Linked DNA regions of Caenorhabditis elegans. The protein of the gene in region 1 purifies or fractionates together with the protein of each later gene. This does not show direct contact. Each region holds a gene or a part of one and is shown in the gene's direction. Other genes may lie near its edges.

Evidence for each region.
Region 2: the proteins of wsp-1 (region 1) and nck-1 purify together in Caenorhabditis elegans (affinity purification with western blotting, with the first as the bait; one study listed by BioGRID). This does not show direct contact.

The regions. Positions count from the first base shown.
Region 1 is NC_003282.8:8,187,058-8,196,170, reverse strand, and holds wsp-1 (CRIB domain-containing protein), read left to right. Parts: upstream 1-2,975; 5' UTR 2,976-3,018; coding exon 3,019-4,078; intron 4,079-4,653; coding exon 4,654-4,800; intron 4,801-5,037; coding exon 5,038-5,146; intron 5,147-5,194; coding exon 5,195-5,464; intron 5,465-5,917; coding exon 5,918-6,113; intron 6,114-6,161; coding exon 6,162-6,425; intron 6,426-6,470; coding exon 6,471-6,593; intron 6,594-6,648; coding exon 6,649-6,825; 3' UTR 6,826-7,267; downstream 7,268-9,113. Other genes in the region: pct-1 (Cyclin-dependent kinase 17), read right to left, coding at 7,736-7,894, 7,946-8,174, 8,469-8,881, 8,973-9,104.
Region 2 is NC_003284.9:4,147,211-4,156,788, reverse strand, and holds nck-1 (NCK (Non-Catalytic region of tyrosine Kinase) adaptor protein family), read left to right. Parts: upstream 1-3,345; 5' UTR 3,346-3,369; coding exon 3,370-3,486; intron 3,487-4,114; coding exon 4,115-4,246; intron 4,247-6,031; coding exon 6,032-6,109; intron 6,110-6,166; coding exon 6,167-6,481; intron 6,482-6,522; coding exon 6,523-6,693; intron 6,694-6,762; coding exon 6,763-6,948; intron 6,949-7,528; coding exon 7,529-7,723; 3' UTR 7,724-8,136; downstream 8,137-9,578. Other genes in the region: ZK470.2 (Growth-regulating factor), read right to left, coding at 9,567-9,578.

The DNA.
Region 1 (9,113 bases):
CTGGCGGCGAATTGCTGCTGCAGTGACGACGAAAACGGCAAAACTAATTGGGCTAGCTATTATGTACTCAGGATTCAGTTACCACGCCCATCCAAGAAAATACTGTGTTTACAACATTTGAACATACGCATTGTTTCATTTTTTGTTGAATTTAGCACTTTTGCACTTTTGATTTTAGGGTTTTCATAAATTTGAGCAATAATTATGTTAATTCTCATATTGTTCAGAGAATATATTCGGATCAATGGTTTCGTCAAAATATTTCGGTTTTTCCAAAAATCGAAAAAATAAAAGTTTAGAAATTTACAAACAATTTCTGAGTTTCATCAAATTTTGCTCATCTTGATGGAAACATATATTTTTAAAAAAATTTTATGCTCTGGAGGCTTTTTTTCGTTCTAAATTGTACTTTTGTGTTTTGAACTTTTTGAACAGTAAGCGCCAAAAGTTTCAACCTTGACAACTCGAGACATTCTTATCGCCTACCCCCTGTGTACACCATATTCGGGAGAAAAAGTTTGAGTTTCGAACCATAATTCAGGGTGTTCATCCTCTGAACACACAGTCACTCAAAAAGCGTCCTCATTTAAATGTTCGTCTTATGTTGTTGTCCTAAAAGTTGTTGAATACCTAGTTTGACCTTGTCTCTTTGACCTCTCTCTCCCTCATTTACTGTCCCTTCGTCCGAGAATCTTGCTTCCACCACTTTTCAACACCAACATCGGGTAAGCCGCCCTCTTAATCCGACCTGATGAGTTTCGTGTAAAAAAGGTTGGCAGACGAAAGGCGGGACACAGGTGAAAGCGAAAAGACAAGCTGCTCAAAAGACTTTTTGTTTGTTTTCTTGGACGAATGGCTTTGAGGGCAAAAGATTGAGAGAGTGGAAAAGAAGATTACATATCACAGTCTATTGGCATATTTATCGACTTTTATTCAACTTTTCCAATTTTTCAACTTTTGGTTTCTTCGAAAATTGTTCGACGTTTGTTGGTCTTATTTTTGATCTCGATCGTATTATTCTATTCTATTATTCTGGAGCGGTAATTTTTTGAAATGACCAATCCATTGAAATTAATACAAATTGTCATTTACTATAATAGATAATCGGAAAAAAAAGTTGAAATTGAAACTTATTAAAACGTACCTGATATCTCGGAATGGTCTTACTGTAGTCTACTGTATTCCTAACTTACAATACGATATGTCATTATGTGTCACTTGATTCGAAGTTATATTGCTTACAATCTATAAAATTCTATTTGAAAAAATAGAAATTTGTTCTGACCTATCATGAATCTCAGTTTTGTGTTCCTCTAAAGCATGAGCCACTTTCAATCGACGCATGTGAAAAGCGGGCCACTTGAAAGAGCAAGGAGTAGGACAAGACGAGTACAGGATTCAATGGAGATCTACGTGATCTTACCCGTGCCTTGTGCTCTACAATGTTCAATCTGAACAAAGAACGAGCACTGGTTCAATTATAAGGTTTTCATACTTTTTATTTTCTTCTCTTTTTTACAATAGTGCTTCAAGTCTCCATCTCTTCTTCTGCAGCAATCCTATGCGGTTGTATTATGTTCATGCATTAATTTTTGAGAAGTCGACACTTGAGAGGAAGTTATAATTAGGTTTTCGTATATAGTTTTGTATTTGGCGCAGGTTATTTTTGAAACATAGTATATCTTTAAAATCTGTTAACAGAACACAAGCAGATGTGAAAAAAGTGTAGAAATTATTTAATAATAAGTGAAACTGGCTGTTCCTTCCGTTTTCCGAATGTCATTATTGACGTCTAGAGGTGTAGCTGTTCCTACGTGTTGTTGTTAGCGGGTGTGACAGTAGTCAAACGATGATTGAATAATTTTTGTGTTGAAGTACACGCTTTCAAACAAAAAAGTAAAATCTTAGTTTTTTCAGTCTTACCGCTGTTTTAAATTTGAAGGATCACCCTTAAGAACGGTGTCTCGTTTACTATAAAAGTACTGTAAACTCAAGAAAAAAATTACGATACTTCTTACAAAGTATTTCTGGTAGCCACACATTGACACCTAAGTCACAAACTAATAGAAACATTATCTTATTATTTCTCAGTTTTTTAATGTTTAACTATATTGAGACTCTCTCCGTTAGAGGTTCAGGGCAGCACATACACACATACACATACTCATCGGTGTTGACTCCGCCTAACTCTCGTGAGAAGAGAAGTGCTTCAGTTCACCTCCCCACAGTTTTCGCCCCATCATTTCGGTCACTTTTACTATTCATTTCTTACATGGAAAATTTTTGGAATATGTAAAAAATATCATTTTTTGAATAGAAATAGATAGTTGTTAGGAATTCAATTAATATTTACATCTGTTTCCTCTGTCAATATGCACATCTCACTGCCGCCAAACTGTGGTAGTGTGTTGTGTAATTTGATTCCGAATCGAAACGATTGGGCGAGAGAGAAAATTAGAGGGAGAGAAGCCGAACGGTGTGAAGAGGCGAAACGGTATACAATAATGATGTGTATTATGACGGTTTTCATTTCGTTCTGTTTCTATGATTCTCTGAATATCCGTTCGAATCACTAAGTGCTTGTACGCCAATCAGAAAGTCATGGCAATTTAAAAGATTTAGAAATGCAAACGTTTTTTTTTCCAAATTCACTTTTCATCAGACTTCAGCAAGATTTTTTGAAGAATAGGATGTTACAAATTATGCTTGCGTAAATATGCAACATTTTTTGGAATGCCCATTTTCGAAGTCAACTAGAGGTATAATTTGGAACCCTTATATACATCTCTCCTTTCAATTGTTTCACACATCACTCGGATATCTCAAGTGAATTTGTTCCATTCCTTCATTTTATGACCTGAAAATTCCGATTCTCACAGCTTTCGATTCCATAAACGTCACCTTTCGACATTTCCCATATACTCTTTTTTCTCTCGCTTTCATCTCCATAATTTGCGACGATCTTTTTCGCCTTCTTTCAGAAGTATCAGAAGTAGTAGCCATTCGAAGAATAATAACATGTGGATGGTGGTAAGCGAGGATCCGGCCGGCCGCCTCCGCTATCAGTACCACAACCTGCCGGTCGCTCAATCGTTTCCTCCTCCTTCCCACCCTCCGCCACCGTCTGCGACAACCAATCCGTCGTCCAATAAACCGTCAACCGTTTCGTCGGCGGCTCAAATTTATTCGTCCTTTCCATCCTCCACTTCCTCTTCCGGTACTGGCGGTCATCTTCACCATAACCATATGCAACGTTTTGCACGTGGAGGATGCTCTAGCTTCCCTGATTCTATGGGATCCTCACCTCGTACTACCCATCGGAGTCATACTCTACCAAATGGAGGATATTATGAAATGGAACAATATGACAATGTAAATGATTATTCGACTTATGGAGGTCCTGATTCCACGTCAAGCTCAACAAGCTCATCTGCAGAATACCAAGATCCAGTATATTCAACAAGGTATGGAGGATCCACAGGTACATATGCAAGGCGTCAGAACTATGCAAGATGTTATGTTCCAATATCTGCTGATGCATTCTATTACTATCACAATCAACAAAAGCAACTACAACAGCAACATCATCAGCAGCAACAACAGCAGCTAGCATTCCGACCTCGTCATCGATCATCACATCATCATCAAGAACCTCGTCGACATAGAGCTCCGAGTCCTGATCCAGACTATTCACCCCCACTTTCTCGAAATAAGGTACGATTTCATATCCCAGAAGAACCAGTATCTCGTGGTGACTATGTGAGTTCTCGACACGTATTCAATACGGATGACTTCGGTGACGAAGACGACGATTATGAATCAGTATCGATGAATCCTGATCCTGCACCTCATTCTGATTCCGTATTAGTTCATCGATCAAATGGTCAAGTATCTGTTATGGTCACAAAGAAAGAAGAACCTATCTACTGTTCTGGAGGAAGTGATAGTAGTACAGAGAGTAGCAGTGCAACACCATCATCTGTAGAAGCAGATACTCCACCACCAATTCCATCTCATCCACCTGCAAGGCATCGATTAGTGAAGAAAAGTTCTAGTTCGACATCAATTTCGCTTAATGGTTTGTTTTACAGACTTTAAATATTCTGATGTCTGAATCTTCACCTCATCATTTTTACTCTTCTACAATAGTTTCTAAAACCTTTTAAAATCTCCCAAAAATTACACAGCTTGTGAAGCTTGAAAATTTAAAAACGAATTTAGTTTTTCGAAACTTCTAAAAGTATAGGAAGTGTCAACAAGTTGAACTCATGATGTGTATTTGCACTTTATCATAATATTTTTGTTTACTTGATCACTATCTTTCCATATTATCGTTTTTTCTTTGAGTTGATCAATTTGATAGACAGAATCTGGTTCTATAAGAGTTTTTCACACAAATTTGGAAAGCAAACATCCAACCCAGGATGGCGAGAAATTCGGACCGATTATTTGTGTTCATGTCATGTTATGAGCACCGCCGACCGAGTACTTGATCGGCTTCAAGCGCTCAGAGCACATGAACATCATTGTTGAGCAGAAATGCTGGAGAATAGAGAAAGATGATTTTTAACTGATTGGGTGATCGAATTGAAATGAAAAAGAACAGAGCACTTGACAGTGAGAACTTCTATATTTAATAATTTATTATTTCAGGAATCGGATCCACTCCAACACGACAATTCGAAATCACACAGGCTTATGGAGGAACAATTCGAGGACCTCCAATGGCAATTGGCGGAGGTCAAGGGATAACACAAATGGGAACTATGGCTGCTGCACCACAATCACATACACATACAGGTGAATATTTTTTTGGAAATTGAAAAATGATGTTCTCGTAGTCAGTAATTGAATTTCTGAATAAAATTACGTAAACTTAAAAAAAATCACATTTTATATCTCATTTCTTATGCATACTTTGCAAAATTTGCTCATATTTTAATGATTAATAAATTGAAAAGATTGTTACATAAATTTGGTGAGAAATCTCTTCAAAAAATAACATTAATTTTAATTAAATATTTTCAATATTTACAGATGGAAATGCTAGCAGTAGTGGATCATGGTTCCGGAAAGATAAAAACAAAAAGAAGGATAAAAAATCGAAAATTAAGAAAGAGGATATTTCTAATCCAACAAACTTTCAGTGAGATTTATTCCGTTTTAATGGTTTAAATTAAACTAAATATTTCAGACATAAAGCTCATGTTGGATGGAATCAGGATAGTGGATTCTCGAATACAGTTTACGACGATGATATGGATGAAGCTACTAAAAATATTCTAAAGGCTGCTGGATTGGAAAGCAATAATCTGAATGAGGATGATAAGAAATTCGTGAAAAAATTCATTGCCAAGAACTATGATAAATATGTATCTGTTGGAAGTTTGGATCCATCACAAATCTCATCACCTCTTCCACCACCAATTCAGCAACATCCACAGATGAATCAGTCATGGAATCAGTTAGTTTTTTTGTTTTCATTTCGGAAAAAAATAACTCCAAACCAGAAAAAATAAATTTAATTATGGTCCGACATCTACTGGGTTTCGCCCCTGTGAAGATACATGCATATGCGCTGTGTGAGTCGAAACCCGGTAGATGTCGGACCATGAAAAAGAGTAATGGCAACGCAATCCCAATTATTCTCCCCCGAAATGCTTTCGATGTAGTTTTTTTTCCGCAAACTTACAAAAAAAGTTAAAAGTAATATGTTTCTGTTACAGTTAACCCTTGAATATATTTTACGACTACTGTTTTTTGTAGCTGAGAACCAGAAATATTATGAAATATTTAATATAAATACTAGAAATATTAGAAATGAAATTAGTGTTGCATTTGGTGAGGGCGTATTTCAGCCATATTAGAAATACGATAACAAAAAAGTTTTATTTTTAAATGAAAAAAAAATTTTCAGAACACCAGTGCGTCAATACAAACCATCATTCCCATCATCTGCTCCGATTGGAAGCGGTGCTTCATCATATTCCACACCTGCCGCTCCTCCACCTCCAACACGTGTCGAATCTCATGGATTGGCTCCAGCTCGTCCACCTCCTCCACCACCGTCATCTGGTACCCGTGGAATTGCACCATCAAGACCTTTACCTCAAGTAAGTAACCGGAGAGTGATTTTCTGAAAAAAATTAATTTATATTCAGGCGCCCAACTATGGAACCCCAGAGAATCGACCACATGCGGTTCCACCACCTCCACCCCCTCCACCACCACAATCATTTGGAATGGCTCCGATATCATCCGCAGCTCCTCCACCACCACCTCCTCCACCACCGATGGGATTGCCAGCAGTAGGAGCAGGAGCTCCACCCCCTCCACCTCCACCACCACCTTCAGGAGCCGGAGGACCTGCATCGGTGCTCGCAAAACTACCACCTGCTCAGGATGGAAGATCGAATTTGCTAGCGGTTAGTATACTTTTAAAAATGTTCACTATTGAATTTTGTATTCAGGAAATCCAAGCTGGAAAACAACTTCGATCCGTTCAACAAACTGCAGATTCACCAAAATCGGCTGGTGGTGATGCTCGTGGAGATGTGATGGCCCAAATTCGACAAGGAGCACAATTAAAACATGTAAGACAATTTTTAACCGAAAATTACTATTGATTCCAATTTTTTTAAACTTTAGGTGGATGCAGCTGCTGAGCAAGAACGTCGAAAGAGTACGACTTCTGGAGCCGCTGGAATGGGAGGATTGGCTGGAGCACTAGCAAAGGCTCTTGAGGAACGTCGAATGAATATGGGAATAGATGATACTAGTGATGATGATGACGATGAAGATGACAAAAATGAATGGTCAGATTAGACTAAATTATCTCATTAAACTTGTTTTCCTTCCATTTTTCGTTTCCTTTTTCTGTGCAAATCCCGTGTGAAACAGGGTAATTTTAGTCCCTCAAGTACAATTCTTGATTTGAAAAATTACAGAATCGTCAATTTCCAAGATAAATTATCATACATTTTGAAAGTGACGAATTTGTAAAACTTGTGCATTTAGTTTTTTTTTTTCTCCAAATCAGTGCCTATTCCGTGTGAATTTCTCTTCGTAAGCCCCCTTCCACACACCCGAAATACCAACAAACTTTTAAAACTCAACCAGTCTTCTTGTTTTTCTCCCGTAGATTTTTCTGTGATGCTCCCCTCTCATCCAAAACCATTGTCCCTTTTTAGACTTACAGCAGAAACGCTCATAATTTTTTTGCATATTATCATTTTTCTGGGTATCCACATAAATAATTTTTGTTTCCAATTCGATGAGAAGTAGAAGCTTTCCGGGTAGAGCTTGTTTATTCACAGGTGTACAATAAGAATAACGGCTAAAATAAATAGCAAAAAAAATGGTTCTGTGTGCTTTTTGGGAACAAATTGAGATTATGAGATGATTTTTTGTAGATTTTTGTGTGATTTATGAACAGAAAATGTAAATTTGAAAATCGCTATTACTGGTTACGGGAAACAACGGGAAAAATTCTAAGAAGAATGATGGAGTCTCGGGATATGAAGAGAAAATATTACACAATAAATTATTAGGAAACATGTTTCATAAACATCTTGATCTATAAGTGACCGCATTGGAAGGACATTTTGGTTGGGAGGAAACGAATCGGAATTGGTTGACAAGAACCCGTAAAAGTGCAACACAATCTGAGATGAAATGGGGAAAAAAGAAACAAATTTAATTCTAAATATGTTTTTTTTTGTTGAGAAAATTATTTCTAAGTGTGATGACTCGAATGCATTCGATATTTATCTTTTACAAGAGTTCCACGATGATGACGACGAGAGCTGTGATGATGATCTGATGCCAGAAGTTCCCTTTCAATGTGAATACCATCAGCTTCTAGGACAGATTGCTCATCTCGCAGGTGGCAACACTGAAATTTGTTGAATTTTCAATAAACTTCCGATCTAGAACTGATATTTACCTTCACAGCGATCGTCCTCAAGAACGGATGCTTCACAGCTTCAGCAGCCGACACTCGATCTTTTCCTTCGTACTGTAAGAATTTCATGAGCAATTCGAATCCGTGAGCATCAATCCGTGGAATTTGACGGCAAAGTGGATCTGGATTGTAATGTCTGTTAGCGTATGGATAGAATGTTGGCTTTTCGCATATTGTCGGATGTCGATCCGGTCGAGGAGATCCAAGTGTTCTGAAGATTTATTTATTTTGAGTTTGTTTTTAAAATGTTCGACATTTTAATGTAAAAAATCTTGGCAGCAATTTTTCATTTAATTCGGAAATTATAGTGCAATATAGGCCCATATCGACATGAGTTACCGTAACCCGTTGTCATTGTGTGAGACCCACGCGGGTAAGATATGACAAAAATTTCAATTTTAGACATCTACGTAATAGTTTGAAGTTTTTAAACATCTTCAGAAACTAAAAATTTGAAGATTTTAAACGAAAAAGATGAAACTGGATGCAAAAAATTAATACTCACCTAAAAATGAGTCCAAGTTGCTCTGTTGGTGTACCACCTGGGAAAAGAGCTCTTCCAGCAATCATCTCAAACAATATACACCCAACACCCCACATATCAATATGTGTCGAATAATCAGTGGAACCAAGAAGAACATCTGGTGGCCTATACCATAATGTGACAACCTCATTTGAATACGTCTTTGTCGGTACGGACTTGGCACGTGCCAGTCCGAAATCCGCAAGTTTAAGCTCTCCTTTTGCAGTAATCAACAAGTTTTGAGGTTTCAAATCTCTATGAAGAACTCTTCGTTGATGACAGTAGGCGAGTCCTCGAAGAAGTTGGTAAAGGAAGAGTCGAATATTATTCATTTGCATTGCATTGTTACATGAATCCATATATTGCTTCAGATCACGATCCACGTACTCGAATACCTTCAAAATTAAATTTATGAATCGAAAATAAATAATCGGGAATCTTTTTCAGATTCTTTCATTTTCTTTATTCTAAAAATAAATAACATACCAATGTTAATAACCGATCCGTATGAATGATATCATGTAAAGTAACAACATTCGCGTGTCGAAGATTCCTTAATAACGAAACTTCGCGAATCGCTGTGCATGGTGCTCCCTCCTCTTGTTCCAAACGTATTTCCTGAAAAAT
Region 2 (9,578 bases), on another chromosome or scaffold:
ATCATCTATGATTCCGGTCTCAAGACTGAATATCGTTGGTCGCTGCTAAGATGGAAGAAATCTTTGGCGGAGAGTAGACAATAAACTATTGAAGAATTCCGAAAAGAGAGAGGATTATTTCAGTGAATTTTATTTCCAACGAAATGTAGAACTATAATCCGATCCATCCTTCAGTATTTTTAGTTTTGCATTTTTCAGACCGAATAATAAATTAAATCTATATTTTTTCTGATATAGTGGTATAAACATTTTCTACCAGTATTCACTATATGTCCAAAACTTTAGTTTCCTAATTATTTTGTTTTACAGTTTGATATATGTCTCGTCATTTTTTTTTGAACAACTTTGTATTTTTATATACCATTTGTAAAAATCTGGAACATATCTAAACTGACTGGGACTAAATATAATTGTTGCATACTAAATGTTATTTTAGTAATTCAAAAATTTTGTACAGAAATGAACACATTTTATGTCTACAGGAAAGTTCTGAGAATTTCTTTTTTTTTTGACAATTTCTGAGAAAAGCTAACGTTTCATGTTTTTCCAGTAACATATTTTTCAATGTATATCTTGTGTCCCAAGCGTTATTTTATTAATACTGGTTTATACTAAATTCCGTTTTAATTAAATAATTCTTCTAGCTCATTTGAATATTCACAAATGTTTCCATTTTTTATTATTTAGAGGTAGTGGGGTAATGATAAAAAAACTTGAAATAATCTGAAATAGTCAAATATCAGAATCAAAAACATAAAATTTTCCGTTAAAGTTTTGGTAAATTGCCAAATTTTGCCAAAATTTTGCAGTTTTTGAAAGAACTAGTGCAATTTCACAATTTTGAACTCATGCAATATATAAATACAACTTAGTTAGAGTATAAAACTTGTATGATTGTTTTTTTTTTGGTGTTGTTTTGGAAAGACCTTTTTTAATTTTAATTTGGCATAGTTTCAATTTTTGATAAGTTATACTATTGTCCGTTTGCCAAAATGTGAAACTATGTTGGTGCTAAATATTCCACGTTAAGGTTTGGCTTTTTCTGTGCATTTTAGATTTTCGAATTTTATTTTTCTTACGCGAAATGAACAAATCTGTAAAATTTGGCACTTGTGGATCGTAACGAGACCTACCACTAAATTCACAGCATGCGCCTTTTAAGTAATATGTCAAAATTTAGCGAAATTACTATATGATATTTAATCATTTGAACCACAAAAGTGGCTTCTAACAATTTTCCTACAGGCGCCTACTTCATTTTTAACAACATGCACCTATTTGTATTACAAACACCCATTCTTCTGATATCTTATTCATCCATGATTCATACTCACTGGTAAATTGAAAAGACTCTGTGTTTCCATGTGAACAGAATAGTGAATAGAGTGAGTAAGGGAAAGTGAGAGAAAAGACAGAATAATTGGTAATGGTTGAACGTTGTTATTGTTGTTGTGTCCCTCCGTCCACTTCTTCTACTTTTCTTCGTCTTCAGCTGCTGCTAATACCCGCGCTGGTTGGTGACGGGGGGCCCCCCTAGATATTTATTCTCCGATGACCAGATTGCTAAGTGTCCCTTAAAGGATCATCTTGTTGTTATTTTCAATTCCCAAGTAAATCCTTCATCTATCCCCCCACAAACCATCTCGTCGTTCCAGTCTGAGATTTGAGCCAGATTCGCAAATTTTCCGCACATTATTTTGGCAATCCGTCTTCAATCTTTTCTCTCTTTTCTCCGCATTCCAATGCATTATTTCGGCCCCTGTTGGCCCCCATTCAAAACCGAAAATTCCCATCATTTGTCATTGACTCTTGTCCTGTCCGAAAATGTGTGTGTGTGTGTGTGTGTGTGTGTGTGTGTGTGCTACGAAGAAAACGATGGGGCTCTTCCAACAATTGTTGCCTACAATTGTCGGTTGTTTTTCCTCTGCTTTTTGTTTCTTTTTTTCTTCTTTTCTTCTTTTGCAAAATGGAGCATAGTCAATTACGTTTCTGGTTTGAAAAGGAAAATTCCAAAAAATTAAAATTTTAATATGAAAATCTGTATTTCTAAAATTACTTAATTGTGGAATTTAATACAATTTGGAGTCTCGTCAGTAAGAAATGTATTCAAACGCTCCTGTTGTTCTTTTTCTAAGTGTGGCAGTTTAATGTGTTGACTGAAATTTTAAAAATTCTAAAAATTCTAGGCCATATTGAACTACGATGGGTATTCTTTTTCGACAAGCAGGTATATTATAAGGCATTTTCTTTTATAATATAATTCAACCAAGTATCAAAAAATCAAAATTTAAATTAAAAACGGTATATAAGTATATAAGTTTGTAGGAGACCCTAAAAAAATTAATTTCAAATTAAAACTTTCATCATATTTCCAGAGCTTGAAAAAAGTTATTCTAGATTTGTAGGAAAAAGAGGTCTGAAAAATATATAACAACTTAACTTTAGCACTTTTGGGGGTAACATTAAATCCAGAAGTATCAATATATTTTCAATAAAGGCCTTACAATCCTAACTAAAACTTTCCCCATTTGCGTGATTTTCCCCATTTGGAAATGCTTACAGGCGCAAATAAAATTTGCCTGAAACCTGATTTTGCACTTTCAGAGGAAATGTGGGGTTTCCTATTGGTACTTTGGCTGGAAGTAATTATATGCCAAAGCCAGGCATCTGAATTATTTCCATTTTCCCATTGAGCCATTCGAAAGTGCACCCGTCTTGCTGAAAAATTCAAAGGCATCCTGACTCATAAGTACATCTGCCCAACTACTGCAGTTATTTTCTCGCTTGACGCCTTCTAACAAAATCCTGCTTACCTCGCCAACTTTTTATGACTATATTCATGTGTTTGCTAACTCCATAAAATAGTATTATTGAATAGGCAATGCTGCCCGCGTTATGCTACTTATTATTCACATCTCACCTTTTTCATTCTTCTTTTTTTGTCATACTTGATACGGCTGTGTGCTAATCTGAAAAAAAAAAGATTTTTGATACTAACTATAAGTTTAATATTTTTCATAACTTTCGAATCAATAAAAAAACTTTCCGGAACCCGTTCATGACACGCTTTGACCTACCAACATCCAACAGCCTAACTGACTTCTGAACAGATTGACATTGACCGATATATCCTAGAAAAATGTGGCGTACGTCGTCAGTGCGCCTTCTTTTTCTTTTTTCCGCTCACTAATGTTGATTTTATCAGGTGTAGGTGTAGTGAGGAGGTAGAATAGACGACGTCAATTACGAGTTGCGTATCCATCCCCTATTCATTTCATTTTCCCACTTGTTCTCCTCGGTTTTTTGCTATGGATTCGCAATTTTTCTCACCAAACCACTTTACAGGGTGTATTACATCGGACATTTGAAATGTCGGAGGACTATGTGGTCGTCAAATACGATTATTTAGCACAAGAGGAACAGGAGTTGACGATAAAAAAGAACGAACGGTTAAAGCTGTTAGATGATAGCAAAAACTGGTGGAAAGTGAGTTTTTATTGACGGAAAACATACTGAAACTAATGGTTAAATGTGAAAACAGTTTGATCCACTTTTCGAGAACTCTAAAACACTGTCGCATGTTCAATTCCCTGCTATATTGAAATTTTAATGTTTTAAGCATAATTAGAACATTAAAATAAGAGAAATTTATTTTAATCAACGACTTTTTGGGGAAATCTACATATTAGTAAGTTCTCACCACTTTTTGACTCGAAATAAAAATGTTCCAAAATTTTTTGAACAGTTTTCTATAATATTTGGTTATTTTAGCATCATATATAAATTTACAATTTTCTCTTTTCATTAAACATCCAGAAAAATTTATAATTTTTTCAAAATTTTCAGTCAACGTTTTGGTCGACCATATTTTGCACATTGACTGCACATTAAAATATTTCAAAAAACAATTCTGAAGAGTTTCATTATGATTGTTGGTCATTTTAGCAACATTTAAACAAAGCTTGCACTGACATTGCTCCACATCTCAAAAAAAAATCCTGGTACCAATTAGCAAAACTACTAATCAAAAAGTGTTCTACAAACCTTAATTTTTTTAAAAATAAATTGAGCCACTTAACGTTGTTTTCCCTCGGATCAAAACCGTTTTCTTCAGGTAATGAACGATTCAAACAGTGTTGGATTTGTGCCTTCAAACTACGTGCGAAAAGAATCAATTGTGGACAAAGCAAAAGGAACAATCAAGGGCTTAGCGCGAGGTCGCAACCGATCCTCAGATCCGGAGCCGGTGAGTGTTTCGTTTTGTTTTTTTTTGTTACAAAAACCCATCTCACTTCCAAAAAAAGCGCCAAACTGCCGCCACAACTAAACGAAACATAATCGACTGTAATGTCGCACTCTCAGTTTTTTTTTGTTTCCAAATGCCAAAACCAGTCTTCACGTGGAAGATTTGTATTTACACAAGCGCTTCCAGCCGAAAGCAACAGTTTGAATTAACTTCTAATTAGAATTGCCAACAGATACTTTATTTCTTTTAATTTTAAGGTACATTAAAACTAGTTTTGATATACTAACTTTCTTCCCAGAACATTCCAGTTTTGTTTCCTTATCATACAGCAAACAAAATCGATTTTTTGCTCCGTTTGTAATGCCATAAAAGTTTCTAGAATGATTTGTCATATTGGGGCAGGAATATTTCTCGTTGTCGGTTTTTTTATTGCAATTTTTATGAAACTAACTAATAGCATTTACAAATTTAAAGTTAATTATTTTAAATATTGTAGCTTCCATTAAAAATTGATATAATAGCCCAAATTCTAGTAAAAAATGATTTTGTCATCACCACAATAACTAATTGAGTGTTTTGCGCGTAAGATACTGCGCATCGTCTGAACTAACAAACTCTTCTTCCCCTGTTTTCCCAGGATTATTGATTGCTCGAGACCGTCCAAAAAGACCTCGCCGCGCGTTCTCCCGTTCTCCTCGCCGTTTTGACAGGTTCGTCTGTTTTTTGCGTTTTCCTTCCTCCACATAAAATACTTTTTTTGCTTTTCTTCTTCTCAATATCAAAACGGCACGCTCAATTTTTCGAATCATATTTTCGAATCGAAATATGCTGAACTTTGTGAGGCAAAAACTCCGTAATAAATGACCGAAACCGTTAATATTTGCATGTGTGTGCAAGCGGCGCATACTATCATTGCCCTGTTATCACACACACACACATACATACGGCTCTCCCGCGACAATGTATTCGGCGCAAATGAGACAGTCTCGGTATACAAGAGCGCGCGAAATTTCAACGCTTCCTATGTTTTTCCGTCTTGACGATACGTTTCAATCGCCTGAGGGCCCCTCCCGCTCTTCACCCCCTAACCAAAATCGTGTTTCGATGTGTGGGGCGCTGCATGCACATTGCCTACGAGCTCAACCGCTCACTTTGTTTGCATTTCTGACTGAAGGTAGCGGGTTGAGTCTGTGCTGCTGCTACTGGCCACGTAGCGCCTCCAAAAAAAAACTTGGAATTTCCGGCTTCATCAAATTTGTTTTTTTTTTCGCCGTTTAAGATCACGTTTCTAATTAAACTGTGAGCTTTCTAGGCGGGAAGAGCACTTCCTTATCGATTTTTCTCGTGCCATAAGACCTCCTTGCAATAAACATCTGCGTCGTCCCTCTAACTTGCCGAACTTAATACTTGTGTTAGAGCCCTACATTTTTTTTAAATAAATTTATTTGAAGTGAAAATTTTATTTTTGAATTTTGAGGCTTTTTGATTAGGATAGTATATTTTCTAATGTAAGCCAAAAAAAAAAGAGATTTCACATAACGATACACTATTTCTTTTGTGTTAGAACTCTACATTTTTTATAAAGTCAATTTATTTAAAGTGAAAATTTTATTTTTTTGGAAATTTTGGAAAATTGAAATTTTTTAGACTCCAGATGAACAAATTTCGTAATGAGAAAAATGGTTTTAAAATTTCTATGGCGCTTCAAAATTTTGAAAAAAAGCTCAATTTAAGCGAAAATCTCTAATTTTAGTACTTTTTTTGTTGTTGAAATTGATTTTTCAGGAGGAGCGATTAAACGGCATCGCGCGTCTAGCGTTCAGCTTGAATAACAACTGTGCGGTGACACCATCATCCAATAAGGTTTGACAGGCTTTTCAATCATAACTTATTTTAATCCGCCAACGTTTTTTTCTTCAGATTCCTATGATGAGCTCGAAAACGAAAGCTGTGGTGAAATTCACTTACGAGCCAAGACTTGAAGATGAGCTCGGTCTCACAAAAGGAGATTTCGTTTATGTCGTCGAGAAAAGCACAGATGGGTGGTGGAAGGGAGAAGCACCGAATGGAGGAGTCGGATGGTTCCCGTCAAACTATGTGGAGGAAGTTGAAGCTTCGACAAACGGAAATCAGGGAAGCATTGAGAACCGAAACCCAGCAGCTGCAGCAGTTCCAGCGCCCATAATGATGCAAGCACCACCGCCGAAGCTCCAGGCGTCACGGTCTTCATTTGAAGTAGGATTTACCCCAATGCAATTTAATAATCATTTTCATAGATTCAGGTCGTCGTTGCATTGTACTCGTTCGACGCATCATCATCTGAAGAACTATCGTTCAAAAAAGGAGAACGGCTCGAAATCGTGGATCATCCAGAACATGACCCCGATTGGTGGATGGCGCGCAACGCCAGTGGAACCACAGGGCTTGTGCCAAGAAATTACATTGAGGTAGTGCATTTAATCGCCTAAAAATTCCGAGAAAAATTGCCCGAATCTGAAACAATTAGAACATTTCAGGTGGTCAACGACTCATCATCCAGCAAAGCTTCACATCAAGATTTCGCACCGCAATATTCAGGAAACGGAGAAATTCCGATGGAGCAACAGCCGTGGTATTTTGGACGCATCTCGAGGGAACGTGCTGAAGATCTTCTACTACATGGTCGTGAGGGAGAGTTTCTGGTCAGAGATTCGGAGAGCAATGTGAGCATTTTTTGGAATTTTTCAAACGGTGTCTTTCCAAATAGTCGCAAGCTTTCAACCATTCCTAGCAACTTTAGAAATGCCAATTTCAGAAGTTGCAAAAGTTGGTTGAGAAGTTGTGGGATACTAAAGTTGTTCAAACAGTTGCCAAAGTTGGTGAAGTATAGTCACAAAGTTGCTAATATTGGTTTTAAAACTAAAATCGACGAATAAGGAGATTCAAGTTGTTTAAGAAGTTGTTAAATTTAGTTTTATTTTAAACTTAGTGCAAAAAAAATCCAAAAGAATGAAGGCTGGCAAGAGGCTACAATTAGTTTAAAAATGGCAGCAAATGACCGAGATACTACGAAATTAATTACCAAAATCAAGGACCGCAAAGGAAAAAAAAACGTTCTAGCGTTTGATTTGAACATTTTCACTCCAAACTATATATTACAGTTAATACGCTTTCATTCTGATCAGAATACAATCTAAATTAAAATCAATCTTCATTGACAGTATCCCATTTGAATATTGCTAGGAAGACAATACCAAAAATGGATATTTTCAACCATTTAATATTAAATTCAATTTTTTTCAGCCTGGAGACTTGTCGATCTCAATGCGCGGAATCGAACGCAACAAGCATTTCAAAGTGCAAAACGTGGATGGTCTCCTGAAAATTGGAAACCGAACGTTTGTGGACATGAATGCTCTTATCAATCACTACACAACCAGCCCAATTTTCTCGTCGCCAACGGAGAAGCTGTTTTTGACCGGTCCTCTTCCCAAGTAAACTACTTGTTCAAAATTTCAATGCAATATTCTTATAAGCTCATTCTTAACAATTGTTGTTTTCTTGTCTTCTTTGCAGCAATCCATTTTTTTTCTGGACAAAGCAAGTGAAAATCTCTTTCGTCATTTCTATCACTAGCCCTGTGTTTAGATATGTTTACTGATTTGCCATCCGCCGTTTTTGATAAATTGAACGGTTGATCACGGTTTCAGATATATTTCTCATTTTTTCTTTGGTTCTTTTTCTTTTCATTCAAGTTTGTAATTTTATCAAATAATTGTCCTTAACTCACACTTTCCATTCATCTCTTCTTCAATTGTCTTTTGCTCCACTTCACAACGCTGCGTTGTTTCAGAATATTATTTTCAATTCCAATTGCCATATGTGATAACTGTAAATGAATTTTCAAGTGGGCATATTTCAGATTTTTTTAATTGTTACAATTTTTCAGGTTTCAATTTTTGTACAACGCGATTTCCGGATGTGAAATGAAACATGACATTATTGAAGGTTTTTATAAATATTTTTTAGAGTATCCGAAATTCTTCACATTTTTGTTGTTAAAATTTTAAATTTATCATAAATTCAAAATTGGAGTTTTTTTGCCAATTATAATTTAAAAAATTGACCAAAAAAGCTTTTAACAATTTTTTACTTTGTAGCGGTCTGAAACTGTGGAAATGCTTTACATTTCTTAAATTTGCCAAAATTTTAATTAACACATTTTGAAATAAAACTTTTAAACAAATTTACCAACATTTTTCTAGCGGTTTAAATTTTTGAAAACAAGGTTAATAACTTTTATTTGATTGTGGTTTTAATTGTAAACTGGCAATTCATCTCAAATTATTTTGTGGTAGCAAACTTGTAAATTTGCAAACAAGCTAATTTGTTAATCGGCAAAAAAAATTGAAAATTAATAGGTGGTAGTTTTATTGTTTATATTATTAATTTTATAATGTTTTATATTTATAGTTGGTAGCGTTTTTTAGATGTTCGGCAAATATGGCAATTCGACAGTTTTAACTCAAAATTCAAGTATTGGTATTATCTCTAACTGAACATTTTTTTTAGAATATTCTCAAATTGAGATTTTCTTTTTTATAACATAAGGCAAAAAGTAACTACGCGTGTGTTTGTATCAACGTTTTCTCCGTCATTAAAGGCTGTTGATCATTTTCTGACACTTTCTACATTGAACATGTCTGACAAGTTTGCATGTGTTCGGGGAATAAAATATGTATTATTTTGGTTTCAAATTGGAGAATCAAAACATGAAGGAGACATAAAAAGAGCAGATGAGGTGATTGGTGTGCGGTTGGATTATACATATGACAGGTGAAGAATACCTGGTGCTACCCCCAGACCCGTGCGAAGTAATAATAATTCGGGTTATCCTAAAGTGGATAGCATCACAAAGAGGAAAATCGAAAAAAATGGGATTCGTCCTAAAACAGTGGGTAACGAATATTTCAAAACAAAGAAAAAAAGAAAAAAAAACAGAGATTTCCTCTTTTACCAATGGGTCTCTTCACACTCGTAAGTCAGTAGCAATATGGGGAACGCAAAACGGCAACGGTGTGACCTGAGACACATGGTAAGATGGTCTGGTTAGGTATGCAGGATGGACGATTGGGAACAGTGATCATTAGTAATGTCTCATTCTTTTTGCCCTCTCAGGAGATCTGGGTAGGGTCGAGTTAAAGTTAAGGGAAGGAAATTTTGAAAATAGTAGGCGGGGGGGGGGGGGGGGGGGGCAATAAGACAAGGAAGGTTAACATGGAAGAAAATGATTTTTGTGTGATGCAAGTGGCAGAGAGTAAAGATCCAATAGGTGAATCTTCTAACGATCAAG